3 linked regions of the Sus scrofa genome follow. Each later gene encodes a partner of the first gene's protein in a complex. Links are inferred from orthologs where the notes say so. Each region holds a gene or a part of one and is shown in the gene's direction. Other genes may lie near its edges. The genes, in order: BRD1, KAT7 and ING5.

What was found.
Region 2: the proteins of BRD1 (region 1) and KAT7 are in contact, whole or in part, in a crystal structure (PDB 5GK9), measured with the Homo sapiens proteins. The link is inferred for Sus scrofa from reciprocal best matches to the Homo sapiens genes BRD1 and KAT7. Residues at the interface, in XP_047297239.1 of Homo sapiens: Val40, Ile42, Glu43, Ile44, His49, Arg50, Ile51, Ser52, Ile53, Phe54, Asp55, Pro56, Leu57, Glu58, Ile59, Ile60, Leu61; in NP_008998.1 of Homo sapiens: Leu531, Phe534, Gly536, Lys537, Glu538, Ile539, Ser540, Ile541, Lys542, Pro552, Val553, Val556, Gln560, Leu565, Tyr567, Lys571, His572, Leu573, Val574, Leu575, Lys576.
Region 3: BRD1 (region 1) and ING5 share a complex: the UniProt entries of both Homo sapiens proteins name them as parts of the MOZ/MORF complex. The link is inferred for Sus scrofa from reciprocal best matches to the Homo sapiens genes BRD1 and ING5.

What each region holds. Positions count from the first base shown.
Region 1 is NC_010447.5:770,302-780,329, forward strand, and holds the start of BRD1 (bromodomain-containing protein 1), read left to right. Parts: upstream 1-4,005; 5' UTR 4,006-4,086; intron 4,087-4,383; exon of another isoform or gene 4,384-4,770; coding exon of another isoform or gene 4,771-4,795; exon of another isoform or gene 4,796-6,433; coding exon of another isoform or gene 6,434-6,447; coding exon 6,448-7,811; intron 7,812-10,028. UniProt on the Homo sapiens protein: Scaffold subunit of various histone acetyltransferase (HAT) complexes, such as the MOZ/MORF and HBO1 complexes, that acts as a regulator of hematopoiesis.
Region 2 is NC_010454.4:25,967,516-25,977,824, forward strand, and holds the start of KAT7 (histone acetyltransferase KAT7), read left to right. Parts: upstream 1-3,641; 5' UTR 3,642-4,250; coding exon 4,251-4,283; intron 4,284-6,772; coding exon 6,773-6,920; intron 6,921-10,170; coding exon 10,171-10,309. UniProt on the Homo sapiens protein: Catalytic subunit of histone acetyltransferase HBO1 complexes, which specifically mediate acetylation of histone H3 at 'Lys-14' (H3K14ac), thereby regulating various processes, such as gene transcription, protein ubiquitination, immune regulation, stem cell pluripotent and self-renewal maintenance and embryonic development.
Region 3 is NC_010457.5:140,261,274-140,271,427, forward strand, and holds the start of ING5 (inhibitor of growth protein 5), read left to right. Parts: upstream 1-3,434; 5' UTR 3,435-3,507; coding exon 3,508-3,544; intron 3,545-5,588; coding exon 5,589-5,660; intron 5,661-6,886; coding exon 6,887-7,053; intron 7,054-8,330; coding exon 8,331-8,442; intron 8,443-8,602; coding exon 8,603-8,696; intron 8,697-10,154. UniProt on the Homo sapiens protein: Component of the HBO1 complex, which specifically mediates acetylation of histone H3 at 'Lys-14' (H3K14ac) and, to a lower extent, acetylation of histone H4. Component of the MOZ/MORF complex which has a histone H3 acetyltransferase activity.

The sequences.
Region 1 (10,028 bases):
CTAATGACAGGATTTGCCCATCATGTTTTGGCTTGTGTGTCTTTTCCTAATGGATTTAGAAGGGTTCTTTCTGTATTTTGGATACTAATCATTTGCAAAGTGGACCCGTTCCAAACACCCTCTGGTTTTCAGTTCTTTGTTCTCTTCAGAGTCTTTTGAGGAACAAAATTTACGTCACATCATTTCTCTCCTGTTCAGTGTCTGTGACACTTTTAGGAGTGTTTCTTGTAGAGACTACGCGACGGTATTTACATTCTTTTTTTCTTGTTTCTTTTTAGGGCTGCATCCACAGCAGATGGAGGTCCAATCGGAGCTGCATCTGCCGGTCTACACCACAGCCACAGCAATGCAGGATCTGAGCTGCACCTGTGACCTACACCACAGCTCAGGGCAATGTCGTATCCTTAACCCCCTGAGCGAGGCCAGGGATCGAACCCGCGTCATGGATGCTAGTCAGGTTCACTAACCATTGAGCCACGACGGGAACTCCCGAGTATTTACGTTCTAATTAGAGAGACTGTCTTTTGATAGGTGAATTTAACTCCATCCTGTCTCTGATTACTCAATGTTTTATTCCTGTCATCTCATGCTACGTTCTTTATTAGGTATTTACCTTTTTCTCCTTTCTGCTTTTTGTTGGCACTGTCAATTTTTCTTTTTTGTTGTTGCTGTTCTTTTTTTTGTTTGTTTTTCTTTTTGCCTTTTCTAGGTCCACACCTGCGGCATATGGAGGTTCCCAGGCTAGGGGTCCGATGGGAGCTGCAGCCACCGGCCTACGCCAGAGCCACAGCAACTCCGGATCGGAGCTGTGTCTGCGACCACAGCTCATGGCAACACGAGATCCTTAACCCACTGAGCGAGGCCAGGGATTGAACCCGCAACCTCATGGTTCCTAGTTGGATTCGTTAACCACTGCGCCAAACGGGAACTCCTGTTTTCTTTTTTTTTTCACTGTCAATTTTTCATTTTAGTTTTCCCCCCAGGTGTTTTGAAATCTGTAAATCTTTTTTTTTTTTTTTTTTCTCTTTTCTAGGGCCGCATTCTCAGCATATGGAGGTTCCCAGGCTAGGGCTCTAATCGGAGCTGCAGCCGATGGCCTACGTCATAGCCCCGCCAGATCCAAGCCGAGTCTGTGACCTACACCACAGCTCAAGGCAACACTGGATCCTTAACCCACTGAGTGAGGCCAGGGATCGAACCTGCAGCCTCATGGTTCCTAGTCGGATCCGTTACCCACTGAGCCATGACGGGAACTCCTGAAATCTGTAAATCTCATTTCAATTTTTCTAGTGGAAACTTGAGTATTTCAGACTTTTTTCTATTGATTCTAAAACCTAGCAATACAAGCAATTTCATGTTTTGACTTCCTGCTCCCCCTCCTTGCCATATGCCATGTTGGGCTCAGGAGAGATTTTCTCTCGAGTTCTTTGACTTTCTTTGAACAGTCTAAGCTGGTTTCTTGGTTGGCATCCAGGGCTTACTCTTGGAGTCACTTTTTGTTTTGCGATGGTGTATCTTTTAGCCCTTTTTGAGAGATCTAGCATGTGGTAAAGCTTGAGTATTTACAGGGGTGAAGACACTTGTATTTGCTGTTCACTGTGTGTGGAATTCGAGGTTCAGTTCTCAGAATGCTGACAATTTCGCTCCTTTGCCAACTGACAGTCAGGTTCAGTCTGATTCAAGAAGATCTTTCCAGGAGTTCCCGTCTGGTGCAGCAGGTTAAGAATCCGACTAGTATCCATGAGGATGTGGGTTCGATCCCTGGCCTCACTCAGTGGGTTAAGGATCCAGTGTTGCCGTGAGCTCTGGTGTAGGTCGCAGACCTAGCTCAGATCCTGGGCTGCTGTGGCTGTGGTGGAGGCCGCGCAGCTGTAGCTCCAATTTGACCCCTAGCCTATGAACTTCCATATGCCGCAGGTACAGCCGTAAAACACGGGCAAAAAACCAAAAAGGCCCTTCCTCTGAAGGTTTGGAGCTAGTCCCTCTGGCCTTGGAGTTCCAGGCCATTCCTCCCGGGTGTCACCCCTGCTGGAGTCACTCTCCTGTCTCTCTTCCTTCTCGAGGCTGCCTCCGGCCTGCTGGCTTGCATCTGACGGGCCTGGGGAGGAGAAGGGCGCAGTCCTCCACTGCTGCCCTTGGGCCTGGACGACAGACGCCTGGAAGAGCAGAGGACGCACATGCAACTGCTCGTCTGGCGCAGATGTGGTCAGGCCCAGCGGTGGCCCTGCCTCGCCTCGGCCTGAGGATGTGTATGCAGGCTGGACCTGGCACAGGAACTTGACCACTAGGTGACACTGGCTGCTGTCCTAACCCACCCTCCCAGCCTTCGCTTTCGACCTGTATGCCGTGTGCAGTGGGGCACAAGCACTGGTCAGTGACAGGCCCCACTTGGGACACTTGGCTGGAAGGGCCGCCCGTTCTGCATAAGGCATCTGGAGGAGACCCTAAGCAGTGGAGGTGCCCTGCAGGGAAAGGTCTTTCCAGCTCAGAAGAAACCTGCGTGCCCCCCCCCCCCCGCCCCCAGCTGCAGGCTGGGGGCCACCTGCCACTCCTTGGCTCGTTGGGGCCACTGCACTAACCTCAAATCCTCAGGGAAACCAAGGAACCCTCTAGGCCTCTCCCTCCTCCCAAAACATTTTGGGACTTAATCTTGGGGTGACAAATGCCACAAAAGCACTGTATTTTGGAGTTTGAGCCAAGTTCAAAGTGGAAGCAGCCAGTGGGAGGCTAAGCTCAGGCCTCTGCACGCCAGCGCCCAGGGGCCTCTCGGCTTCACCTGGACCCCAGAGAGGGGCTCAGGTACGGAGGCTGCCTGGGCCCAGGCCTGCTACACCTGAGACAGGGCAGGGCCAGCTGCCGCGCCCCCCGCCGGCCCCCCTCCCTCTGCACATGCAGACTCCCCCAAACCCTGTCTCCTCCGCCAGGTGCTCATGGGTCCCTATTCCACCCAGCCTGGCACTCCCGGTGCCCTCAACACTCAACTGGGCCGGTCCCACCCAAAGCCCCACTATTCCAGGTCTGGCGTCCCACCTCTTCATCCCCTCAGGCCCCTCTCCCCGATGCCCCCTTCCTTGAATCCCCTGCCCCCCAGGGAACCCCCAGCCTCCCATCAGGAGCTTCTCCCCCTCCCTGCGTCCTCTCAGAGGAGCCTCCAGAACTTCGTGTCAGGCGCCCCTCCCGGCCCGGCGCCCCCCTAGGCCTTGTCTTGGGTCCCGGTCCCCGCCCCGCCCCCCCCCCGGACCCCTAGCCCTCGCGTCGGGTCCCCCCTTGGAAGACCCCCCAGCCCTCGCGTCGGGTCCCCCCCCTTGGAAGACCCCCAGCCCTCGCGTCGGGCCCCCCCCGGAAGACCCCCCAGCCCTCGCGTCGGGTCCCCCCCTTGGAAGACCCCCCAGCCCTCGCGTCGGGTCCCCCCCCTTGGAAGACCCCCCAGCCCTCGCGTCGGGTCCCCCCCTTGGAAGACCCCCCAGCCCTCGCGTCGGGTCCCCCCCTTGGAAGGCCCCCCAATCCTCGGGTCGGACCCCCGTCCTCGCCCGCCCCCTCGGAGGACCCCCGCCCGGCCCCCGCCCGGCGTCCGCGCGGCGCCGGCGCTCAGGGCCCTCGCGCCCTCGGCTCCCCTCCCCCCGGCGGCGGCGGCGGCGCGTCATGGCGGCGGCGGGCGGGGCGCGTCTCGCACGCAGCGCGCCGGGCGGAGCGCTCGCCGCATTGTTTGCTTCGCTGGGGAGCGAGCGAGCGAGCGAGCCGGCCCGGGCGTCCGAGCAGCTCCGCGCCCCGCCGCCGCCGCCGCCGCCGCCGCCGCCGCCACCGCCGTCGCTGCCGCCGCCGCCGCCGCCGCCGCCGCCCGCCGGCCGGGCCCCCGCGCCGGGCCTCCGTCCGGCCCCGCCGCCCGCGCGAGCCGCCTGCCCGCGAGCCCGCGGCCGCCGCGCCGAGAGCCGGGCCGGGCCGCCGCCGACAGGAGCCCGCGCCCAGAGCGGCGGCGGGCCGGGCCTGCGCGGCCGTTGGCGGAGGAGCCGCGGGCGCCATTAGCGCCGCCTCGGCCGCGCCGGCCCCCGCGCCCGCCGCCCGGCTCCCGCGGCCGCGGCCCCGAAGGTGAGTGCGCCGGGCGGGCCGAGCCGCCCCGCCGCCGCCTCGCCCCGCGGGCCCCGGCCTCTCGGCGGCGGGCGCCGCCATGTTTGGCGGCGGCGGCGGCGGCGCATTGTCCGCGGGCGGCGGGCGGAGGGGCGAGGGAGGCCGCGGGGCCGGGGCGGCGGCGGCGGGGAGGCCGGGGGCCGCGCGGCGGCGGCGGCGGCCGGGCGGCGGGGCGGCGGGCGGCGAGAAGGGAGGGCCGGGGCCGGGGTCCGCCGGCCGAGGGGCGCCTTATGTAACGGGCGCGCTCGGGGGGCCGAGCCGGGGCAGGAAGCGCCGTGTTCGCGGGCGCGGGCCGGGCGGCCTCCGCCCCCGCCCCCGCCCCCGCCGCGGTGGCCGGGCGCCCGGCGGCCTCCGGGCTCTTTTGAAGAAGTAACTCGGCGGAGTGTCGTTCGCGGGGCCGCTCGCGCTGCAGGACGGAAGTCGGAGCCCGCTCCGTCGCCGCCGGGTGGGCGGGCGGCTGCTCCTGCCCGGCACCTGCTCGCCTGCGGGCCCGGGAGAGCTGGAGGGGCTTGGCCGAGGCCAGGCAGCATCGGCGCTGGCGTGGGCTCCGCGGAGCTGGCCCGCGGGCGCCCGGCCCCTCTGCCCCTCTTGTGGCCTCCTGGCTTTTCCAGAAGCGTTTAAGGAGAGGCCGGTCTGCTGGTGGGAATGCGTGTCCCGTCCAGAAGCCCAGGTCTGGCAGGAGCGGGGCCGAGAGCAGAGCTGGTGGGTGCAGGGGAAGGACGGGTCGGGGGCAGGGACCCTGTCAGATGAGGAGCTGTGTGGCCTTTGAGGGCTATTCCTCTTGGACCAAGTGGCCAGATAAAGAGCTGCCGTGCCCTTCGGGAGAGCGGGGGTTTTGAAGGGCTGGTTGTGCTTAGAGCCACTTGGTACTCTGTTGTCGAGAAGAAAACTACATGTTGGCTTTTAACTTGGTGAGTAGCCAACTGTTGCATCTGCTCTGCCCCAGTAAAGACCCCTGAACTGGGCCCGGGCGCCCGGGGATCCCCTGGGTGCAGGCTCTGGGGCTGACAGCTGGGCCTCGCCCATCTCCCTCACAAGGGCTGGCAGGGCCAGCTTGGTGGTGGCTTGGCTGACCGCTCCCCAGGGTCCAGGGCTGGGGTGCAGGTGAGTTAGGGTCTGGCCGATCAACTGCGGTGTTTTCCATGCTTCTCCTTGCGGGGGGGCGGCGGCTAGTCTAACGTGAAACAGGTTTCTGCTCGAGGAAAGAAAAAGGAAACCGCAGCCTGAAAGTTCTCGTCTTCCAAGCGCACTTTGGGTCCGTCTGCTGGGATTTCCTTTGGGGTTTAACAGCGCGAACCTTGGCTGGCTCTTCCCAGAGACTGACAGCCACCCGGGCCCACAGGCAGCCGTGGGCCTTGGGCTCCACCTTGAAATGTTTGTCAGTTCCTCTCTTAAACATCATTTTGCCTCCTGTCAGTCAGGTGTGGTTGTTTGGAGGGTGGAGAGTCCTTGTCACCTGGTCTAAGGTGCCACTCTGCTTGGTAGGCAGTGGTCCAGAGTCAGGAGTCTCCCTCCAAGGGAGACGGAACGTAGGCTTGGTCAGTGACAGATGGCAGACGTCCGAGGAGAGTAAATTCCTGTAAATGTCCGCGGCCAAGTCCATGGCCAAGATCTCAGGTGCCTGAGTCTGTGTGGCACGGGGTGGTGGGGGTGGCAGGTGTGCAGGGGTCTCGGTGCGGCCACTCCTGAGTCCCCGTAGAGGCTGGCTGGGGGCCTCCCAGGGGTGAAGCCTGCCCCCAGGCCAGTGCAAGGCTTCCCTCTTGGGTCCTGGTGGCCGGTCGCCTTGTGCCTCCGCGTAGGTGTGGGGGGAACGTGTTCCTGGGAGGATGGGTTACTCCCGGCAGGGGTACTGCCGGGGTCAGCGCCCTGGGCTCCAGGGTGCTCTCCTGGGCTGTAGCAGGGCGGGGGGCGCCGGGGACCAGAGCCCCTCACGGGCCGGCCTGGTGCTCACAGCCTCCTGCCCCTGGAGTCCAGCTCTGGGCTGGGCTTTCTCCGGCAGCCCTGCTCGGGAGGGATGTTGTGCTTGGCTGGGTGACCTAAGAGGGTGGCCGGCGAGCGCTGGAAACGAGACTGTCCTGGAAGGACCCGAGACCGTCTTGGAAGGACCCGTGGGCGCGGGAGCCTCTGCAGGGCCACGCCTCCGCCCACCCGCTCTGGTCCCTGGAGTCCCCGGGGAGGGTGGCCTGGTGGGATGAGTGATTTTGGAAACCTCAGGGACCGGTGAGCGGGGGGTTCGTTTGATAGCGCGGGAGTCTGCGCCGCCCCCGCATCCTCCGCGCCGAGGTAACGTGTGCCTGGTCTCTTTCAGGGAGTCGGTACCAAATGAGGAGGAAAGGCCGAGGTCATCGCGCCGCAGCGAGGCCCCCTTCCTCCCCGAGCAGCACGAAGCCCTCCCCCGCGCGCGAGACCCTGACCTACGCGCAGGCGCAGAGGATGGTGGAGATCGAGATGGAGGGGCGCCTGCACCGCATCAGTATCTTCGACCCCCTGGAGATCGTGCTGGAGGACGACGCCACCGCCCAGGAGATGAGCGAGTGCAACAGCAACAAGGAGAACAGCGAGCGGCCGCCCGTGGGCTCGCGGACCAAGCGCCACAAGAACAACCGCGTCAAGAAGAAAAGCGAGGCCCTGCCCAGCGCCCACGGCGTGCCCGCCTCGGCCAGCGCGCTGCCCGAGCCCAAGGTGCGCGTGGTGGAGTACAGCCCGCCGTCGGCGCCCCGGCGGCCGCCCGTGTACTACAAGTTCGTGGAGAAGTCGGCGGAGGAGCTGGACAACGAGGTGGAGTACGACATGGACGAGGAGGACTACGCCTGGCTGGAGCTGGTCAACGAGAAGCGCAAGGCCGACTGCGTGGCGGCCGTGTCGCAGAGCGTGTTCGAGTTCCTGATGGACCGCTTCGAGAAGGCCTCGCACTGCGAGAAGCAGAAGCAGGGGGAGCAGCAGTGCCTGATCGACGAGGACGCCGTGTGCTGCGTGTGCATGGACGGCGAGTGCCAGAACAGCAACGCCATCCTCTTCTGCGACATGTGCAACCTGGCCGTGCACCAGGAGTGCTACGGCGTGCCCTACATCCCCGAGGGCCGCTGGCTCTGCCGCCACTGCCTGCAGGCCCGCGCCCGGCCCGCCGACTGCGTGCTCTGCCCCAACAAGGGGGGCGCCTTCAAGAAGACGGACGATGACCGCTGGGGCCACGTGGTGTGCGCCCTGTGGATCCCGGAGGTCGGCTTTGCCAACACGGTCTTCATTGAGCCCATCGACGGCGTGCGGAACATCCCGCCCGCCCGCTGGAAGCTGACCTGCTACCTCTGCAAGCAGAAGGGCGTGGGCGCCTGCATCCAGTGCCACAAGGCCAACTGCTACACCGCCTTCCACGTGACCTGCGCCCAGAAGGCCGGCCTCTACATGAAGATGGAGCCCGTGAAGGAGCTGGCGGGCGGCGCCGCCACCTTCTCCGTCAGGAAGACCGCCTACTGTGACGTGCACACGCCCCCGGGCTGCACCCGGAGGCCTCTGAACATTTACGGGGACCCGGAGATGAGAAACGGCGTCTGCCGGAAGGAGGGCTCGCTCAAGACGGTCAGGGCCACGTCCAAGGTCAGGAAGAAGGCCAAAAAGGCCAAGAAGGCACCGCGGGAGCCCTGCGCCGCCCTGCCGCCCGTGTGCGCGCCCTGCATCCCCCCGCAGAGGTAAGTGCCCCGCGGCCCCCCGCAGAGGGAAGCGCGGCGGGCTCTGCGGCCCGAGGCCGGGCGCGCTGAGGCCCACGCGGGGTGACGGCCCCCCTGCGCAGCTGCGCCGAGTCGCTGCTCCCCGGGAACGCGGACGTTGCCGGCGACTCGGGTCTGTGAGACCAGCAGGGCGGTGGTGTCCTCGGTGCCCGCTCCGGCCGCGGGGTGCCCTGGCCGTTGTGGCGGCCTGGGTGGCTGCACCTGGGGCCCGTGGCACCCCCGAGGGTCGCCACCGGGCAGGACGAAGTGCTGTTCCTCGCCCTCCCCCTCGCTGCAGTGCGGGCATCTCGGGGAGCCCCCCCTCTGGGCTCGTGGGCGAACGATCCATTGTTGTCACTGTACCAGGTCAGGTGCCTGCAGAGGCGCGGGTTCCTTCTCGGGCCGGGGAGCTTCCACCTGGGCATCGCTGAAACCGATCTTAGGAATCTTGTGGGTTTTTTGTTTTTTTTTTTTGCTTTTTAGGGCCGCACCCGCGGCATGTGGAGGTTCCCAGGCCAGGGGTCGGATCAGAGCTGCAGCCGCCGGCCTACGCCACAGCCACGGCAACGCGGTATCCAAGCCGCGTCTGCGAACTACACCACAGCTCACGGCAATGCCGGATCCTTAACCCACTGAGCGAGGCCAGGGATCGAACCCACAACTTCATGGTTCCTAGTCAGGTTCATTTCCACTGCGCCACCATGGGAACTCCCTTCTTGTGGGATTTTTAAAATCACTTGTGGAAAAGTTGAGCAGGGTGGCCGAGGAAGGCCAACACCAGGGCAGAGAGCCGCGTGGGGCTGCGAGGGCCGCGTGGGGCGGGGTGCTGGCCCCCTTCCTGGTGGGGGCAGCCTCTGCTTTCCTGGTTCGTTCCCTGGCATTTCCCTGGCGGTCCGGACGGGGCCTGGAGTGGTCTGTGCTGGTGGGGTCAGGACCCCGAGGGGCCCCCTCACCCCTGCACGGAGTCTAGGGCCGTCCCCACCCTGGGCTTGTCTCCTCCTCTGATTGTCCCCTTGCCACTTACTTGTTCCTTCTTTCTCCTTTAAAAAAAAAAAACCTTTCTAGGGCCACACCCGTGGCATACGGAGGTTCTTAGGCTAGGCTAGGGCTCGAATCGGAGCTGCAGCTGCCGGCCACCGCCGCAGCCACAGCTGTGCAGGAGCTGAGCCGCGTCCGCGACCTACACCACAGCTCGTGGCAACGCGGGATCCTTAATCCCCGAGAGAGGCCAGGGATCGAACCTGCGTCCTCATGGATCTTGGCTGGGTTCGTTTCGGCTGAGCCGTGATGGGACCTCCCTGACGTGTCCTTTTTGTTTCCTCCCGTCTATGCTGTGGCTCGGGACACGAGGCAAGTGATGGACGCTTTCCCGCCAGAGCCTGAAGTGCCCAGAGGTCTGGGGGAGACTCGAACCCCGGCCTGAGCTTCGGGGAAGTGGTAGCGCGGTTCCAGTTGGGCGTCCGTCCCGGGAGCAGGCCTCCCGCGGGCTGTGCCGTCAGGTCGTCCGGCGAGGGGGCCGCCCCGTGGGGTCCGGCTTTCAGCCCCAGGGGGTCGGGTCCTCGCTGTGTGTGGCCGGTGGCGGCCTGGCCGGTTTCCCCACGTCGGCCTCGGGCTCTTTGTGGAGCAGCTCAGACTCACGACGGGGCCGGTCAGTCCGGTCCAAGCGCCTTGAAAGCGCTGCCGGTGCCGCGTCTCCGGAGAGCATGTCCCGCAGAACCAGGGCTTCTGCGAGTCCGTCGCTCGGGTTTGGATCTGCTCCCAGGGCTCGAAGGCCGGGAGCTCGGGCGCTGCCAAGGCTGCGCCCAGGCCCGGGTGCCCTGCGGCGCCGACGGCGTTTGGGGAGGGGCCCGTGGGCACGGGCGGCGACAGCCGCTGGCGAAGGGCTCTGTGCGGCCCCAGTGGCTGGCGGCGGAGCGGGGCCGTGTCCCTCCTGTCCTTCCTTCCCCGGCTCGGCTGCACACCGAGCCTCCAGGTCGGCGTCAAGGCGGAAGCTCGCCGGGGGCATGATCCTGGCTGCAGGTTTCGAGCGCAGTGTGGACCCCGTTTCAGGCCACTTCAACCCCCTCCGTGACCCTGCCTCCCCCCTCGGCCTGTTGGTGACCGGGTGTCGGGACCCCCCCCCCCCCGTAGCTGGGACAGGAGGGGCAGCGGGTCTGGTGGCCACTTCTCAGGCCGGAGACCCCGGATCCCTGGCGGTGG
Region 2 (10,309 bases), on another chromosome or scaffold:
CCTCACCTCCAGCTCAGGCTTCTCAGCAGAACATTCAAGACTCTGCAGGACCTGGTTCCCCAAATTATTCCTGCCTCTTCTTTTGTCAATCACTGCAACCCCTGCATGCCCTTAGTCACCCCCACACAGTCCTGCTCCACAGGTCTGCGCTTTTGCACAGGCTGTTCCCTTGGCCTGGAAAGCCCCTGTTCTCCAGGTCCATTGGCAAACTTAATCGTCCTGTGAAGTTCCACTCTTACTTCATCTCTGTATGAATCCTTTTCCAAACCCTCAGTGTCCTTCTCTGTACCACTTCTGAACTTTGCTTATCTTTCTGCTGTTCCATTAATACTCTGTCGTGCTCTGGAACGACAAGCTTCCTGGCCTGGGGAAACACAATGTTGGGTTTTTTTTGTTTGTTTGTTTGGTTGGTTTTTGTCTTTTTGCCATTTCTTGGGCCGCTCCAGCGGCATATGGAGGTTCCCAGGCTAGGGGTCCAATCGGAGCTGTAGCCACAGGCCTACGCCAGAGCCACCAGCAACTCAGGATCCGAGCTGCATCTGCCACCTACATCACAGCTCACGGCAACGCTGGATCCTTAACCCACTGAGCGAGGCCAGGGATCGAACCTGCAACCTCATGGTTCCTAGTCAGATTCGCTAACCACTGAGTTACGACTGAAACTCCCGAAACACAGTGTTTTAATGCTTTAACTCAATATATAATATATAATACATAATGCCTCGGTAACATTCGGAGCCTCCTGCACTGAAGCGAGTCTCAATAGACAAAAACAAACAACCACTAAGACTATGGAAAGTTATTTTTCACAATCATTAGGATAGTCCAGCCATGACTAGGGTGACTGAAATTATAATGATCAGTAATAATGGCTATTTATTGAGCGCTTATTCTGTCAGGGACTGTGCTAAGCGCTTTACAACAATCATTTCCTTTAATCCTTATAACAGCCCTGTGACATGGCTATTGGTATCTTGACCTCACAGCTGAGAAATCTGAGGCACCAATACCTTTTAAAACTTGTCCAAGAGCAAAGCAGACAAAGTAGCAGGACTGAAATTCAAATCCAGATCTGACATCAGAGCCCAGTACTGGACACGAGAACAGCTGATGAATAAAATAAATAGGAGTTATGTTCCTATTACTTGTTTCGGGAGGAGTGAAACAGAACACCTACCAAACTGTAAAGTATATATAAATCAGTAAGTACAAACTAACATATCACTGTGCCCTACTACCTTAGAAAGAATACATCAGGAGAGACCTTCTGAAGAAAGCAAATTTTAAAGATGGTCGGGAGATGCATCAAGGCAGGAAGAAAAGCCTGTGTGAGAGCGCAAAGACAGGGAGAATAGTAGGACCACTTTTGCAAAGTCTGGCGGATGAGGATTGTCAGGGGCCCGGTCAAAGGCTTTAAACCAGCAGTTCGTGCATCACGAGCTAATTTCTGCTGGAGGGTATGCTCTTCAAGGACAAGGCATGTCTCAATGAAACTGTAAACTCTTTCGGTGTTAGCTGCAGTGTTTGAAAATGCAGTGCGAGGGATTAATGTGGAACATTTGTAATGTTGGTATTTGTATGATGAATGGCTAAGTCAGGATAAGATTTTATTCTCATATGCTAATTCCCAGGGAGGGATACTTCACCATCTTTGAGGGCTAGACATTCTGACAGTGTGAAACAGTAAACATATTTTGATTGAGGAACAAGAATTTACTATGGGTAGAGCACAGTCTGGCTGCCATTAAGGATGGTATAAAAGAAGAGAGATACGCTTTTTTTGTTGTTGTTTCGTTTTACTTTATTTTTAGGGCCGCACGCACAGCATATGGAAGTTTGAACATGGAAGTTCCACATCTGGGACCTACACCACAACTCATGGCCATGCCAGATACTTAACCCACTGAGGCCAGGGATGGAACCCACATCCTCATGGATACCAGTCGGGTTTGTTACCACTGGGCCACAACGGGAACTCCCGAGATATGGTCTTAACATAAGTGCTCTTTACCAGTAGTTGGGGAGCCAGAACACCCAAGAGTAACCTTGGGAACACCCGAGTAGGTGCAAAATAACAGTAATAGTGTGAAATTAAATAAGTTCTTTTGTGCAGTTCAACCTAAGTAGGCCATTTAAAGGTGTTTATGGTAAACATTAAAACCTAAATACTAACAGCTGCCTGTGTTATTACCAGCCCAGGATACACCCAAGGAGAGTGCTAAATAAGGGTCTGGAACTCTAATCCTTCTGAGTCCTCTGCTTAGCACAACAATCAGATGTTTACCTTCTGCTGCTTTGTTCTTTAGTTCAGCTCCAGGGGGAAATCTCCATCTTAGCTAGCCTCAGGTGAAACGGGCTCCAGGATCCTAACTTAATGACTCTTGGATTTTTTTTTTTTTTTTTTCCTCCCAGTCTCTGGGCAAAGCTTTACTCCACACAAGGCTTTTCTCCCAGCGAGGTTAAATCCTCAACGCTTGCTGTTCACTTCTCAGCCTTTTCTTACCGCTCTTCTGCCAACCTTACATCTTCCACCAACTTCTCCTTTCTAGGCAGCTAACATCAATGCCTTTCTGAGCTCCAGCTTTACTAAAAATATTCCTTCCTCTTCCTCCAACTCCTGACTCAAGCGTCTGGATTTCGAGAGGTCACTTGGGCTAATGGGGTTCAATGCTTTTCCAACTCTGGTACCGCGCACGCGCGCACACACACACACACACACTCATCCCGAGGGCCACCCAAGGCTCTCAAACCCATACAGGATGAGGGGACGAAGTGGGTGTGCTCACCACAGAGCTAAACTGGTAATTCTTTGGAGCAACAGTTTCTGGAGAATGGTTGTGTCTCCTTTCGCGAGTGAACGGATCAACATACTTGCGGTTCGCTAAAGGCAAGGACAATGTCTCCTCTACCAGACAAGAAACTTCTTCATGAAGGACGCTACCTTCTTTCTGTCCTTTCACAAGCCCCCATTCCCAGCACTGTGAGACACCGAATGGCTCTTAAAATAGTTTCTTGTGCAAAATAGCCCTTCCCAATTTTGAGTTTATGTGATAAAGGGAAACGTCCTTTAGCCAATTCGGCGACTAAGGGGTTAAACCTCAGCAACCTGATGGATTCTGGGGCTTTCTTTCCTCGACTTCAGAAATTAAAACCAAAGGGAAGGGAAATTTTGCCCATTGTAAAGATGAGAACTGTTAACTTCAACTGTCAGGCTTCTGCCCCAAACAGGAATGGCTACCCACGCCTACAGAGGATGCCATTCCCCTAACTAAAAATGGCGGGCCCCAGTTTCCACTGTCGCTGCCACTTTCTGCCCAATTCCAAAATGGCTCCCGCTAGCCTCACCGGAGGGGGAAACCTCCCAGAATCCTCTCTGGCCCTAACGTCAGGTGACGCAAGCCTCAGCCGGAAGTGGAGGAAAAAGCGCCTCAGCCCGCGGCGCCTGCGCAGAAAGGTCTAGACGCTGTGAAGCAGGAGGCACTTGGGATCGTCCGCAGGATTGGGACTGCTACAGAGGCCGCCACGGAGCCCGCCGGAGCCACCGTTCCCACTGCTGCTGCCGCCGCTGCCCGAATCGGAACCGTCGGGCCGCAGCCGCCGGCAATGCCGCGAAGGAAGGTGAGAGGAACGGGACAGGAGGGATGGCGGGTTTCTAAAGGGCAGTCGATTGAGAAGAGTGACGCAGTTGGCCACGCCTCACAGTGGTTGGGTTCCAACTTCCCGCTTCCCTGAACCTAGCTCAGCAACCCTCGCTTCTGTCCATACCCAACAGAAAAATGTGGGCCCGACTGTGGCCTCGGCCTATGCTTGCACCTATTCCCGCCCTCTGCTTGCCTGGCTCGGAGGCGTTCTTCTCGGCAATTGGTCGCTGAAACGTCTAGAAGCATGTTGATTGGCTGGCGACACCGCCCATTTGGGCCCAACGGTCACCTCCCCGCGTGTGGGGGCGGTGTCTAGGCCCGGCTCTACCGCTCTCCGACTGGATGTAGAGAACGATCCCTCTTCTCTTGATTGGCGGGGCTTGGCAGTCTGTCCTGTGGGGGCGCGGTTTAGCGGGACCGCGATTGGGTGGCACGAGTCCCCTCCCATCCGTATGGTGATGCTCATAGGAGGAGAGGCGGGGTTTGGGGAGTATCCTTCCTTTCCCCGCGGAGGACACAACAAAGCAGAGGACTGGGTGGTAGAGAAGCAGCGCCCACTCCCGAGGGATCCCTTCCAGGCCTGTTGCACCTAAGCTGCGGTTTTCCCTTATGTGCTTAGTTGGACAGCGCCTAGAAAATGAAGTTCGTAAATCGGAAACTTCCTAGAATTAAATGGGACTTGACGATGTCATCTAGGGACACCCCCATCCCTTTTCTCAGCTAAGCAGAGGCTTAAGGGAGTGCCCCAAGCCACTCAATTAGGCAATGACAGAGCCTGGACTACAGGACAAATCTAATTCAGTTCAACAAACGTTTATTGACTCTTCGCTATGTGCTGGTTGCCGAGGACTCGAAAATTAATTAGACATGATCACTGGCTTAAGGAATCAGAGTCTGAGAGGAAAACAGACATTTAAATAACTGTAGAAGGGTTTAGTAAATTCTCTACTTGGCAGTAATAAAGATTAATGGGAGGGAAGTGGAGCAATTTAATCTGCTCTGGAGTAAGATGGGAAGTAGTTGGTGAAAGCAGTAGAGGAGAGCTGAGCTCCAGGGTCATGCCAGGAAGGGATGGGCAGAGATGATTAGGGATTCAAATAGCTGGGTAATTGGATTGGATGACCTTTAAGACTCCCCTTTCATCTTAATTTTTGGTGATTCTCTGTGGATCCTCCACTCATTTCCTGGCAGATTATCCTTGAAATATTTGGAACGCTGGGTGGTGGTCTTGCTCATTTCTGCAGAAATCTTTCTCTTCACAGAGGCTTTCAAATATTTACATTTTTTAATGTCTCCAAAATGACCTACATTGATAGGTGGTATTTATGTTAAGGCTCACCAAATAGTACTGGTGTCTTGGAATAGGCCCACAGTCTCCTTTTTGCAATCCCCAAGTACAAAGAGTTCTTGAAAATGTGTGTTTTTTAGTAACTTATTTCTTGGCAGAACCTGTTCTAAACTGTTCTGAGGCTATTTACAGTTTTTGTGTCTCATTTAGTGTGATTGTACATATATTTTGCTGCAGAAAGGGTGTTATTTGCAGGATGTATGCAGACTATTCCTTTCTAAAAAATTATGAATTCTAAACACATCTGATCCTAAGGGGGCTTTTTGTTTGTTTTTGCTTCTTGTATGTTTTTTTTAAGCAAATGCATCTCTCTTTATGGTTTAAAATTTTTTTTGCTTTTTTTTTTAGGGGTGCATCTGTGGCATACAGAGGTTCCCAGGCTAGGCATCAAATCAGAGCTACACCTGCTGGCCTACGCCACAGCCACAGCAACGCAGGTTCTGAGCCACATCTGAGAGCTACACCACAACTCACAGCAATGCCAGATCCTTAACCTGCAACCTCATGGTTCCTAGTCGGATTCGTTTCCTCTGCACCACAGTGGGAACTCCTCTTTATGGTTTAATAAAGGGTATGGTGTTAGCATAGGAGGGTACCCCAACCCTTCTGGCTTTGCTCTAGGATTCCCTGGGAAGGAAAGAAAGTTGGAATTTAATACAGAAAGCTGATGATCAATAGGTGATAATAAGTTGAGGGAGAAAATGTAACATACTTTGAGCACTTAAATTGTGCCAATTTGGTTACTGCTGTATGAGCATGCTGCAAAATGGGAGAAAAACTTCTGTTTTTTCAAACAAGTGTTTAATGCTTAATTGATAAAAGTTATCTTTATGGTTAATTGTGTCTCTGGAGGCTGATAATTGACAAATAATATTAACTGTAAAGGTGATTTTAAAAAACCTTCTGTTTTTGCATACCCATGTGTCTTCGTTTGCAAACCACTCCCTCCCCCCTTTTTAAAAGCACTTTTGGGGTACATGTGGAGAAACTTCAAAGGGAGATGACATAAGTAAGAAGAATTACTATTTTTCTCCCTAAGTTTGAGATCAGAGTTATAGACCATGATATTTTGAATCAGTGTGTGGTTTTTAATTCATTTTATTTTTTTATTTTTTGGTTTTTTTTTTTTTTTGCTTTTAAGGGCCATACCTGCAGCATATGGAGGTTCCCAGGCTAGGGGTCTAATCAGAGCTACAGCTGCCAGCCTGCACCACAGCCACAGCAATGCAGGATCCGAGCCACATCTGCAACCTACACCACAGCACATGGCAACACCGGATCTTTAACGCACTGAGCGAGGCCAGGGATCAAACCTACAACCTCATGGTTCCTAGTCGGATTCGTTTCCGCTGAGCCACGGTGGGAATTCCAGTGTGTGGTTTTTAAAAATGTAATAGCTGTTTATGTAGACTTTGAGCAAAAGCTACTCCAGAATTAAGTGAGGCTGTCACTAACATTTTTCTCTTTACCCTGGACTTTGTATAAGTGCATTGTTATGTCAGCCAGACTATTTTGAGTTCTGTATTTTCCAGTTTCCAAATCAATTTGTTTCAGAACTAATGATGATACAGTAAGAATTAATTCTCTTTATTTATTTAATAAAGATGCACTATTCGTAGGTTGTTCCATTTAAATGCTCTAAATGAAGGGAAATTGGCTGTGGAGTCCTTTCTTAGATTTGAGCTTGGTGTTTTCAGCATCACAGTTTGTTTTATTTCCAGTGTTATTTCACACCCACGGAGTTAATGTTTCTGTGCTAATGTCTGGATCTATGGTGTTACAGAGGAATGCAGGCAGTAGTTCAGATGGAACCGAAGATTCCGATTTTTCTACAGATCTCGAGCACACAGACAGTTCAGAGAGTGATGGCACTTCCCGGCGATCTGCCCGAGTCACCCGCTCCTCAGCCCGGCTAAGCCAGAGTTCCCAAGGTAAAAGGCCGCTTCCTTCTTCCTGATCACACCTCACAGCTCACTGGTCATCATGTTACTGTGCTAGTTCATGTGGAAACTGGTCCCTTGACGTGATGCTGATGACAGAATCTGGTACAGTGCAGAGCAAATGACTGCTAAAGTGTCAGGTCCTTAAGGATGGTTCTGTTGGGGGTCCTGTCCAATTGTAGACCCGGAAGAACTATCTCTGGTATGGTACATTTGTGACACCTGTATGTCTTGAGTCTTTTAATTTTTTATGGATTACAGTTTCCCTATAAAATGAGAATGGTATCTTTTCACTTTTTGTTAGAATGGCCTAGGAACTTGATAAAGTGGTGTCTCGAATGTGCTATTGGAGGAGGCCTAAGACCTTTAAAACCATGTTTAATTTTGTACTATAGTCAGGTGCACAATCAATACAGATGACCCAACTATCAACTATAATAGTACCCAGAATTTTGCTATGGTAGTAAAGAATAGAGAATCTCGGTGTTGGAAGGTTCTCTAGTACAGTTAGCCATCTGGTCTTAGATTTGGAGGGTACCCACTGTCTTGGCTCTGCTCTGAGATTCGCTGGCAAAGAAAGAAAGTTGTGAGTAATACAGAAAGCTGATGGTCAATAGGTGATGATAAATTAAGCGGGAGAAGTATACTCCGAGCACTTAAAAGTGCTGATTTTTTTTTTGCTGCTATATGAGTGTGTTGCAGACTGAGGGAGAAACATCTGTTTTTTCAAGCAAGAAAGTGGGAACATTCTCTCTGTGGTTATTCCTAACTTTATCTTTGAATTTAATATTTCAGCTGAAGTATAGATAATTGTCTCTTGATTTCTCAACTTCTACGTTTGTATTTTGGGGCATAATGGGAATATTGATAAACGGTTGCTATAATTCAGGTATTATGCAACATAGTGGGATACTGTGATAGAAAAATCGGAGTTCCTGCCCTCAAAGAGCTCACAGTGTAATGTGGGATGTCAACTCTTATGGCAACGCATTGTGCTAAGGGCTGCGAGAGAGGTTTGCATAGAGTGCTGTGGAAGCCTAGAGATGGAAATCTTTAAGGATCTAGGAGGAATTTACAAGTTGAAAGACAAGAAAGTGTTATTATAGGCAGAGGGTACAGAACATGCAAAGGAATGGGCATAAATGCTCTTAGTATAAATGGCCATGCCAAAGTTCCTGTTGTGGCTTAGTGGAATGAACCTGACTAGTATCCATGAAGACAAGGGTTTGATCCCTGGCCCCGCTCAGTGGGTTAAGGATCTGGCATTGCTGTGACCTGCGGTGTAGGTCGAAGACATGGCTTGGATCTGGCGTTGCTGTGGCTGTGGTGTAGGCTGCCAGCTGCAGCTTGGATTTGACCCCTGGATGTGAACTTCCAAATGCCACCGGGTGTGGCCCTTAAAAAAAAAAAAAAAAAAAAAAAGCCATGCCCTGGTCACCTGAAAGTTATAAATATTCAGAACAGATAGGAATTACATGAGCTCTGAGTCTTTTTCTAATGACTGTACTTCATGAACACTGAGTGCCACAATGGGAGGGCACTGTTCTCTATGTGGTCTCTGTAAGGGGGCCCCCTCTAAAGCAAAAAGTAGACTGCATTGTAAATGGAACCCCCTGGAGGCATGCAAACTGAAAACCTAGCTGTGTGCTAGCTCTTACATGGGAATTTGAGAATTTCAGGGGTTTTTTTGTTTTTGTTTTTTGTCTTTTTAGGGTCACACCCATGGCATATGGAGGTTCCCAGGATAGGGGTCTAATCAGAGCTATAGCCTCTGGCCTACACCACAGCCACAGCAGCCACAGCAACGCCAGATCCGAGCCACATCTACAACCTACACCACAGCTCATGGCAACGCTGGATCCTTAACCCACTGACGGAGGCCAGGGATCAAACCCGCAACCTCATGGTCCCTAGTCAGATTCGTTTCTGCTGTGCCATGATGGGAACTCTGAGAATTTCAGTTTTCTTCATTAAAGAATTAGGATTTTTTGTTTACATAACATATTAGGGTTTTTTTTTTTTTTTTTTTTGGCTTTTTGCTTTTTGCTTTTTAAGGCCATACCCGCAGCATATGGAGGTTCCCAGGCTAGGGGTCCAATCGGAGCTAGAGCTGCCGGCCACAGCCACAGCCACAGCAACCTCATGGTTCCTAGTCAGATTTGCTTCTGCTGTACCACAACAGGAACTCTTATTAGGGTTTTTTTTGTTTGTTTGTTTAAATATGCTTTAATTTTAGCTTCAGATTTATTTTATTCCTTTTTTAGGTGTCATCAGACTGGAGATGTAAAAAGGTTGCTGGGTGCTTCAGAATAGATTTCTCCATCCAAAAGAATTTTAAAATTGTGTTTTTGCCTTGCCCTTTACAAATCTAGATTATATTGCTTCAGGGTGTCAAAGGGGGTAATCAGGAAGAAAAAGATTCTTTTTTTGGGGGGGTCTTATTGCCATTTCTTGGGCTGCGAGCCTGCAGCATACGGAGGTTCCCAGGCTAGGGGTCGAATTGGAGCTGTAGCCGCCGGCCTACACCAGGGCCACAGCAGCACAGGATCCGAGCTGTGTCTCCACCTACACCACAGCTCCTGGCAATGCCAGATCCTTAACCCACTGAGCAAGGCCAGGGATCGAACCCGCAACCTCATGGTTCCTAGTCAGATTGATTAACCACTGAGCCACGATGGGAACTCCAAAAAGAGATTCTTAGAGAAAGAACATAGTTACATATTGCTGTCCTTTGGTAGTAGAGTATTTATTTTCAGGTCGATTGGAGTAAGAATAGAGGCAAGAGGATGCAGCTAATATTTATAAAGCCCCAAATTTAGGGATCTTGGGATTGTGTTAAGTGCCTTATGTGAATTATTTCATTCATTTCTCACAACAAATGTATGAGGAATGTGCTACTAGTATTTTCCTTTTTTTTTTTTTTTCTTTCATGGATCAGGAAACACTTGGAGAGATTAACTTGCCCAAGATGCCACAGTTAGTTAGTATGATGGAGTGGAACTGAATCACGTTCAGTCTGGATTCCAGAGCCTAAACTATTAATTCTGTGCTGTGTTGCATCTCTGTACCCGATCTATTTCGTTTACATTTAATTCAGTAAAAAAGATAGTTGAAGGTTTTGTTGCATTTTGTGAGATAGGAAGAGGAGGACCTACATGCTAATAAATCACAGTGATGGGAAATAAAACAGATTTCCTTCTTTTTTCTTTAATTGTTTTATTGTTTTAAAAATCGGGATCAGATTCCAGCCCTGTTCGAAATTTGCAGTCTTTTGGCACTGAGGAGCCTGCTTATTCTACCAGGAGAGTGACCCGTAGTCAGCAGCAACCTACCCCAGTGACTCCGAAGAAATACCCGCTTCGGCAGACTCGGTCATCTGG
Region 3 (10,154 bases), on another chromosome or scaffold:
GTGGCTGCTCCTCCCATTGAGAGGCGTGGTCTAACCTTCCTCCTCTCGAATCTGGGTTGGTCCCTCGGACTCACTTGACCAATAGCATGTGGTCAGGTGATGTCTTGGGGTGACCAAGATGAGGTCTTGCGGCTTCCACCAGGGCCTCTCAGAACTTTCTGGAAGCCCTGAGTAGCCACCTAAGAGGTACCATTGGGCTGGAGAGGCCACGTGCGTGTGCTCTGGTCCACGGTACCAGTCAAATGCAGCCTTCCAGCCACCCCAGCCATCTCCATTGTATCACTTAGAAGAGTCACCCAAGTGAGCCTTGCTGGAACGCCGGACTCATGAAAATTGTGAGCTATAAGAAAATGCTTCTTTTAACCACTATGTTTTAAAGGTAGTTTAGGAGTTCCCATAGTGGCGCAGTGGTTAACAAATCCGACGAGAAACCATGAGGGTGCGGGTTCGATCTCTGGCCTCGCTCTGTGGGTTAAGCATCCGGCATTGCCGTGAGCTGTGGGGTAGGCCGCCAGTTGTAGCTCTGATTTGACCCCTAGCCTGGGAGCCTCCATATGCCGTGGGTGTGGCCCTCGAAAAGACGAAAAATGAATAAAAATAGAGGTCGTTTACTCTGAGGCGATGGGTATGTGCAGGTCTATGAACAAATGGAGCACTGTTTAAGGTGATGAAAAATTGGAGACAATCAACAGGCGTTCACCCGCGCGGTTTGCTGAGCTACGGCCACCGGTGGCCCGCACCGTAACACCGGGGGAAACTCCGCCAGGACGCCTGAGGCGTATTGGGAGAATTAAGTTAAAGATGTAAATGGTATAGGAGTTCCCGTTGGCTGAGCCATTAAGAATCCTCAAGTATCCAGGAGGATGCAGTTTCGAACCCGGGCCTGCTCAGTGGGTTAAGGATCTGGTGTTGCCCTGGGCTTCGGTGTAGGTTGCAGATGGGGGTTGGATCCCATGTTGCTGTGGCTGTGGTGTAGGCTCAGCCCCTAGCCTGGGAACCTCCATATACTGCGGGTGTGGCCCTAAAAGACAAAAAAAAAAAAAAAAGAAAGTAAATAGTTGCAAAGTGGATTGTGTGACTCACCAATTAAGAAAAGCAATAGCTCAGTTTTAAAAGTGGGCAAAAGAGGAGTTCCCACCATGGCTCAGCGTTAATGAAACTGACTAGAATTCGTGAGGATTTGGATTCAATCCCTGGCCTTGTTCAGTGGGTTAAGGATCTGGTGTCCGGTGGCTACAGCTCTGATTAGACCCCTAGCCTGGGAACCTCCATAGGCCGGGGGCGGGAGGGGGCACTAAAAAGACAAAAAGACAAACAAAACAAAACGAAAAAACCTGAAATAGTACAGCTTATTCTGAAAGACAGTTTGGAAAAAAGAAAAAAGGCGTTCCCGTCCTGGCGCAACAGAAAGGATTCTGACTAGGAACACGCTGTGGTGAAGGTCGCAGACTCGGATCCGGCGTTGCTGAGGCTTGCGGCGTAGGCCGGCAGCTGTAGCTCCAATTAGGCCCCCCCGGGAAACTCCATATGCCGTGGGTGCGGCCCTAAAAATACAAAAAGACAAAAAAGACAGTTTGGCAGTTTCTTACAAAACTAAATATAATCTTACAGTATGATCCGGCCATCATGGTTCTTGGTATTAACCCAAAGGAATTGAAAACTATGTCCGCACAAAAATATGTACAGAAATAATTATAGCAGCTTTATTCATAATTGACAAAACTTAGATGCAACCAAGATGTCTAATAGATGAATGGATAAACCGTGGGACAAAAAGACAATGAAATATTCTTCAGCATTAAGAAGATACCATCCTAGGAGTTCTGGTCATGGCTCAGTGGTAATGAACCCCACTAGGATCCATGAGGATGCAGGTTTGATCCCTGGCTTCACTCAGTGGGTTAAGGATCCGGTGTTGCCATGAGCTGTGTTGTAGGTCACAGATGCGGTTTGGACCTTGTGTGGCTGTGGCCGTGGCCGGCAGCATATGCCTTGAGTGCGGCCCTAAAGAGAAAAAAAAAGAAAAAGAAGATGCCATTCAGTCACGAAAAGGCGTGGAGGAACCTTAAAATGCATATTACTGGAGTTCCTGCTGTGGCTGTGGCGCAGTGGGTTGAGAGTCCAGGGTTAGCTCTGTGGCAGCTCTGGGTTTGACTCCTGGCCCAGCACAGTGGATTAAGGATATGGAATTGCTGCAGCTGTGGCCATAGGTGGTACAGGTCACAGCTGCAGCTCAGATTTGATCCCTGGCCTGGGAACTTCCACATGCTATGGGTGCGCCCCCCCAAAAGCTTATTACTAAAAGAAAGAAGTCAATCTGAAAGGGCTACATGCTGTTTGATTTCAACTACATGACAGTCTGGAAGAGGCAGAACCAGAGACCAAGCCAGGGGCTGGGGCAGGGAGAGAGATGCATGGGTGGAGCAGGCCATTTTAAAGGCAGAGCAACTATTTTGTATGAAACTGTATTGGTGGGTACTTAACATAGTCTTACCACACAGAATGACTCCTAATGGAAAATCGATATGGTTTCATCAGTTGTAGTAAATGTACCCCAGAAATGGAAAATGTTTTTTTATTTTTTTAGGGCCACATCCGTGGCATTTGGAGGTTCCCAGGCTAGGGGTTCAATTGGAGCTGCAGCTGCCAGCCTACACCACAGCCACAGAAACATGGGATCTGAGCCATGGCTGAGACCTACACCACAACTCACGGCAACGCCAGATCCTGCACCCACAGAGCGAGGCCAGGGATCGAACCCACAACCTCATGGTTCCTAGTCAGATTCGTTTCCTCTGAGCCATGACAGGAACTCCGAAAATGTTCATAAGGGAAACTGTGTGTGTGTGGAGGGGGTATATAAGAACTGTTTCCTTCTCAATTTTTCTGATAACCAAAAACTGCTCTAAAAATAAAGTTATTAATAAAAACACCTACTTAATAAAGAAAGTGGGTAGTATGCAATTAGCTCCGCCAGCGTGTGTGTGCAGTTTCACATCAAGCATTGAATCGGGCCAGAACGGTTGCATGGAAACTGCAAACATTTGGTTGAAAGGTGAGCAACATAATCACAGTTCTGTTCCTTGGGGAGGTTGGAAATTTTCCTTTCCCTGAACAGCTTGAATTTCTATAACGAAGGTAAAATTGACAAAACAATGAATGTGCTTCCACTTTTAAATATCTGCCTGGGGTTTACGGAAGAGTTCAACAGAAGGGGTGTATCTTTACACCGGCATTTTCGCTGATGAAACGGCGCCACCCGCCACCCCCACCAGCCCCCGAAAACCTCCAGAGGCCGAGCGTGCTCGCGCACCTCGCAGCCCCGCACCTGCTCCGACCGCCCCGCCGCGACCCCGACCGGAAGCCGGGGGGCGTGCCCAGAGGAGCCCCGCCCCGGCGTCCGCCCAATCAGCGCGCTGGGCTCATTAATAGTGACCACGCCGGCCCCGCCTCCGCCTCCCGCGGCGCCACCGCCCGCGCAGACCCAGAGCGCGGCCGCGGACGAAGATGGCGACCGCCATGTACTTGGAGCACTACCTGGACAGTAAGCGTCCCCCGCCCCACCCAGGCCCGCCACCCACGCCGGGGCGCCCCCGCCGCGCCTCCTTCGCGCGTCAGGCTCCGCACACGGACCCCGGGGCTCGTGGGGGCGGCGGGGCGGCCCGGCGGCAAAGGCAGCGGGGGCGCGCGCGGGGCAGGCGGGGCCACGGGGGAGGGGCGCGCAGGGGGCGCGGCACGGGGTCCCGCCATCACGGCCGCGCCAATTCCAGATGCGTCACGGCGGGGAGGGGCCGGCGCGGCCGGGGCGGGGCCAGCGCGGCCCCGCCCTACCCTCCCGACCCGACCACGCCCACTCACCGAAGGCTCCGCCCGCGACCAGGCACCGCCCACCGCCTCCTAGGCACCGCCCGCTTCGACGTATGCCCCGCCCTCTCCACCGGGCCTCGCTCCTTCCCAGCGGGGCCTTGCCTTACCTGGTTCCCTGCTCTTCCCCACCGAGGTGGCCCACCAAGGTGGTTGAGACCCAGTCCTCTTGGACTCTGGGCCGGGTTTGGGGGTCCCAGGGCCTGGCGAGCTTGGAGGGCCTGGATTCCTTGCCTACTTGTGCTGTGACCTGGGAATTGCTTTCGAGTCCCAGTTTGTGCATCTACTAGGCATACTGATGTGGAGGGTCCCCCAGGGCACCTGTCTTTGTGCAGGGGGTTTGGGGGCGCAGCTTCCAGGGCTGGGTAGGGTGTTCAGGGCAGTGGTCATCACCACTGAGCCATAGCCATCTCTGGAGGACTCCTGAGCAGGTGGTTGTTCACGCTTTTCACAGAGGGGGTGGTGTTGCCTGCAGAGGCTTAGTAGCTTGTCACAGTTGAGCACTGGAGAGTGGAGACCCTAGCTTTAAACACTGCTGCCTGGCTCTGGCTGGGAGTTGGCCTGGGTGGGGGCTGGGTCAGGTGGCTCTGGAGCACTGGGTGTTCAGAGTCACTCTGGGCTGGGAGCTCCACCCGAGGTTGCTGAGAGTAGGGCGTGACCCCCTGCTCTGGGGAAGATGGCGAGGATCCAGCCCTCCCAGGGGGTTGCTCAGTCCTGGCCGTTTATTCTGCTCACCTGGCCCCCCGTGAGCACAGGGTCCTGGGTGGGAGAACACAGTGGAGGGAGAGGTTTCCCCAGCAGTGTCATTAGGGGGCCCGCCCTAGGTGTCTGCTGGGTGGCACTGCGGCTTGCCCTTCTCTGGCCTGGAGCCTGCCTGGTGGGCCCCTGTGGAGGGACTGAGGGACTTGAGTTCTGTCCTGTGTGGGGCTCCTGTGTGAAGGCTTGGGACCTTGAGCGCCGGCTGTGTTCCAGGAAGGCAGACATGATTCTTCCTTTTCCTGAAACTCACTATTGAGTGGGGCAAATAGAAGTTTCCAGGCCATGAAGGAGCCCAGGAGATCATGACAGTGCAGGGGTGGCACTGTTCTGGCAGCCGCACTAGGATAGCAGGGGGTCCACTCGAGGGCGTGGTGGGCCTGGAGGCCAGGATGGCATCTGTGCTGCTCCCTGGGTGGGCTGGGAGTGGGGCTTGGAGCAGATGTAGCTCCTAAAGTGATCAGCTGCGGCGGGGCCGAGGCTGGACTGAGAGGGCTGCGTGCAGGTGTGAGAGCAGCGGGGCAGGGCCCTCCACCTATGCTGTCCGTTGCCGTCTGTTTAATTTTAAATAACCCTGAGTAAGAGGAGAACTTGAGTCCCTCTGCATACTTGCCCGTTTCAGGGGCTTGGTAGCTCCATGTGGCTCCATCCTCATAAAGTCCCACGTGCAGCACTGGCCGGCCCCCGATGCCCTGGAGTTCAGAGTCAAGTGGAGGGAGATGGGGGGGCCTCCGGGTTTGGGACATGTTCCCTGGGAAGAGGTGTCTGCCGGGGAGGGGTGACCTGGGCCTTGGAGTGGAAGAATCCCACGGCATCTTCCTGCCTCTGCTTGCACCTCGTTTCTGCTTTCACCTCTACCTTCTCGAGCTTCTGACAGCCTCTGGAGCGTGTCAGCCTCTTACCAGCATGTTCAGAGTTTGGCACAAGTCGCTCAAAAAGGATATCTTAATCCTGTCTTTGTGTTTCAGGTATCGAGAACCTTCCCTGTGAACTTCAGAGGAACTTCCAGCTGATGCGAGAGCTGGACCAGAGGACGGAAGGTGGGTTCGGGCCTCTCAGCACAGCCAGAGCTGGGCCCTGATACCCTGGGGACTGGAGCACCAGGATCCTGGGATGGCACCAGTCCTGCAGGGGACCTGGTGTGGGGCTGCTGTCCAGGCCCGTGCCCTGGGTGGTGTCTCAGGGAGACTGCTGATTCTCTTTTCTTTGCTTTTCTTTAAGGGCCACACCCACAGCATATGGAAGTTCCCAGACTAGGGGTTGAATTGGAGCTGCAGTTGCTGGCCTACACCCCAGCTCACCGCAAAGCCAGATCCCCGAGCAAGGCCAGGGATCAAACCCGCATCCTCATCGATAGATTGGATTCGTTTCTGCTGCGCCGCAGTGGGCACACCATGATTCTTTAAAATCAAACTTAGGGAGTTCCTCTCGTGGCTCAGTGGTTAGTGAACCTGACTAGCATCCATGAGGATGCAGTTTTGATTCCTGGCCTCCCTCAGTGGGTTAAGGATCGGGTGTTGCTGTGAGCTATGGTGGAGATCGCAGATGCGGCTCGGGTCTGGCATTGCTGTGGCTGTGGTGTAGGTCGGCGGCTACAGCTCCGATTAGACCCCTAGCCTGGGAACCTCCACATGCCGCGGGTGCAGCCTTAAAAAAGCAAAAAAACCAAAACCCAAACCAAAAAAGTCAAACTTGGTCTTTTGCGTTTTTGTGCACTTTTATGTCATATCTTTTTTTTTCTTTTTTTTTGCCGTGCCCTGTGTTTTCACCTGCAGCACGTTTCTTCACCTGTTAACCAAACGGTTGAGTTGTGTCTGTTCCCACCCTCAGCGTCAACAGCGTCATCCTGCGTGTGTTCCTTTGCGTCTTGCTTTTCTCTCTCAGCGTCACCTCTTGTGGGGTTGACCCTTGCTTGGTCCTTTTGTGGCTGGGCAGTGTCCGGTGGTGTGACTGGACCATGGCTCATTTATCTCCTTTGGGTCGTCTCCTGTTTTCTGCAGTTGGGAGTGTGTGCCCCGGGCTGTCCGGGACTCAGCCTTCAGGGTACACGCCTGTGCACAGGACACCGGCTCACGGGTGGGGCAGGCGTCACGCGCCAGGACCGTCCCGGGCACGTGGTCGTGGTGTCTGGGAGGGCTGTGCCCACCGCCCCGCAGTGGCCGCTCCTTTGCTGGAACTCGCTCTGGTCGGGCTGTATCGGCTGCCGGTCCGGTGAGCACGGGCCGGCCTCCAGGCACGAGGACGAGCTCGGAACCGTCTCTCTCAGATAAGAAAGCCGAGATCGACATCCTGGCTGCCGAGTACATTGCCACGGTGAAGACCCTCTCGCCCGACCAGCGCGTGGAGCACCTGCAGAAGATCCAGAGCGCCTACAGCAAGTGCAAGGAGTACAGCGACGACAAGGTGCAGCTGGCCATGCAGACCTACGAGATGGTGAGCCCGGCCGCCCGGCCTCTGCCGCCCCTCCCCCCCTCGGCTCCGTCCCCTCCTCGCAGCGGGCAGCCGGTCAGCGCTTCTGGAGGGAGTGTCCGAGGGAGGGGTGCCCCCCGGGCCGCGGCTGCCCTCCGGTCTTCTGTGCCCCTTCTGCTTGTTGACTGGGTTGCAGAAGCCGTTCATTTACGTCCATGCTGAATGCTTTGCCTTTGTCAGCGGTAGGGAAAGTTCCGTCCTGTTCCTGCTCAAGTCAGCGTTGCCCAGGGCTCACAGGGCGGCACAGAGCCATTGTCCAGAGATATGCGCGAGGCTGTAGGGCAGCGCCAGTGAGACAGACAGGATTCTTTGTTTTTGTTTTTGTTTTTTTTCTTTCTAGGGCTGCATCCGCGGCATATGGAGGTTCCCAGGCTAGGGGTCTAGTCGGAACTGTAGCCACTGGCTTACACCACAGCCACAGCCACGCCAGATCCAAGCCGCGTCTGCGACTTACACCACAGCTCAGGCAACGCCGGATCCTTAACCCACCGAGTGAGGTCAGGGATCGAATCCGCAACGTCATGGTTCCTAGTCGGATTCATTAACCGCTGAGCCACGACGGGTCCTCGCAGACAGGATTCTCAAAGCCCTCGTCCCGCGGCATTCGAGGAGGGCCCTGCAGGGCGCGGGGCGCTTACAGCGGTGTCCCTGCGTGCTTGAGCCGGTAGCAGCGTTTCCAGGAGCTGGGCTTCCCCTGCTGTCACGAGGTCACCGTGCCCTGAGACGGCGGTCCTCTCCAGGCTGGAGAGCTGTGGTCTCTCCTGCGGGCTGTGGCTGCCGCGGCGGTGCAGTCCCTCGGGACGTCGAAGGACCGTTGCTGCCGCGGCGTGGTCCCGTGCGCATGGGCACCGGGCTGCGTCCTCCTTCGCCCGCGGGCTCCACCCTGTACCAGAAGCTTCAGAGTCGTTTTCTGCGGAGGAACCTATGTGTTCTTCCCATTTTAAGTTTGGGTTCAGCAGCAAAGGTCCTCGCCCCGATTCCGTTGCACTTCCCCGCGTCGTTCCCCTGTGGCCTGCCTTCCCGGCCCTCGGCTGAGTAGGATTGGCTCTCTGGTGTGTCAGGTGTGCGGGGGACAGAGCCCCTTGCATCAGCGCTGAAGGAGAGGGCCTTGTTCCGGCGGAGCTTCGTGAGTCTACCCTCAGTCACAGGCGGGCGGGGCTGCTGGTGGACTCGGGCCCTTGCGGGTCCCGAGGCGCGTCGCCTCTCGCTTGACTGCAATGTGTGAGCATCCTTCTGTGTAGGTGGATAAACACATCCGAAGGCTGGACGCGGACCTGGCTCGCTTCGAGGCGGACCTGAAGGACAAGATGGAGGGCAGCGACTTTGAAAGCTCCGGAGGACGGGGCCTAAAAAGCAAGTCATAGTTTTTCTTTATTTTGTTGTTGTTAACTATGGCGTCCTGAAGAATTTTGTCTAAGTGTATTAGGAACATTACGGTAAATGTCATATTTGGGTAAATCTTGTCCTGCTTCAGTGAGTTCTGTGAACAAAGCTGGGGTCTTTGTTGTTTCAGAAGGTCGAGGTCAGAAAGAAAAGAGGGGCTCCCGGGGCCGTGGCAGGAGGACCTCAGAAGAAGACACCCCAAAGAAGAAGAAGCATAAAGGAGGGTGAGAGGCACTTTTTTCCTCTTTCCCCCAAAGAACACCAGTGGCACCGACTCAGGATCTGGAAAGGCAGTGACTGTGAGGCTGAGGGGGTGCTTTACTTGTGCCAGGTGCGCCACAGCTTCTGCTTTAGCTGTGCCAGGTGTGCCGCAGCTCCTGCTTTACCTGTGCCAGGTGTGCTGCGGCCTCTGGTGCTTTTCCTGTGCCAGGTGTGCTGCGGCTCCTGGTGCTTTTACCTGTGCCAGGTGTGCTGCGGCTCCTGGTGCTTTTACCTGTGCCAGGTGTGCTGCGGCTCCTGGTGCTTTTACCTGTGCCAGGTGTGCTGCGGCTCCTGGTGCTTTTACCTGTGCCAGGTGTGCTGCGGCTCCTGCTTTAGCTGTGTCAGGTCGGTTGGTCCTCACAGCAGCCTGAGGGAGCACTGTTGTTCTAAGTGGTGAGCCCAGTTCAAGCTTAGAGCTGGTGCGTGAGGGCTGGGTTTGCACCAGGTGGTCTGATTCCAGAACCTGTTCTTTTAACCATTGTTTGCCCTGCCTCTTGAGCGACACAATGATGTTTGGTGCCATTCAAGCCAAGCTGCTTTCCAGCTGCCTATGTTTCAGTTGATGGTTTCATATATGAATACGTATTTCAGATAGATTCACTATTAAATTGTGTGACTGCAATTATTAAATGCATATGTCATTTAACTTGAACTTCAGAATGTTTCATTTAAAACACTCTCCCACTTATTAGCTCCTGTCCCCGAGGTGTTACAGCCTTTTTGCTTCGTAGGCGTGATGAGTAGACAGCAGAGGAGATGACAGCACACGCCATGCGACCTCTGCGGGGGTGATTCTGACAGTTACGGGAATGCTCAGGAGAGTTAGTTCTTGATAAAGCAAGGGAGAATTTTAGTTCTTAAACCTGGCCTTTGAACTTTTATCTTAAAAAAACCTCAGACAGCACCTTTGTGTTATAAAGTAATACACGGACGCAGGAGGTGACAGAAAACAAGCGTGTAGTTTAAGAATGTCTGTAAGAGGCGCGTCTTCGTGACTGGCTCCTGGGCAGTGACCGCTGGCCCGGGGCCCTTCCCTGGGCCTCGCCAGCATCTTCGCTTGCTCCTCAGCCCCAGACGCACGTGACCCAGGAGGACAGGGTGTGTACTTCCCGTCTCTCTTTGTTGTTTTGTCCCCAGCACGTGCTCCCCTGGACACTGTAGTTGAGTCTTGTTTTGAGTTTTGTTTTTTGGTTTTGCGTTTTTCTTTAACGGCTGTACCTGCCGCACACGGACATTGCTGGGCTGGGGACTGAATCTGAGTTACAGCTGAGACCTGAGCTGCAGCCGTGGCAAGCTGGATCCTTTAACCCACTGTGCTGGGCTGGGGATCGAACCCTTGCCTCCTCAGCGACCCAAGCGACTGCAGTCAGATTCTTAACCTACTGCGCCATGGCAGGAACCCCATTGCTGGTGTTTTTTTT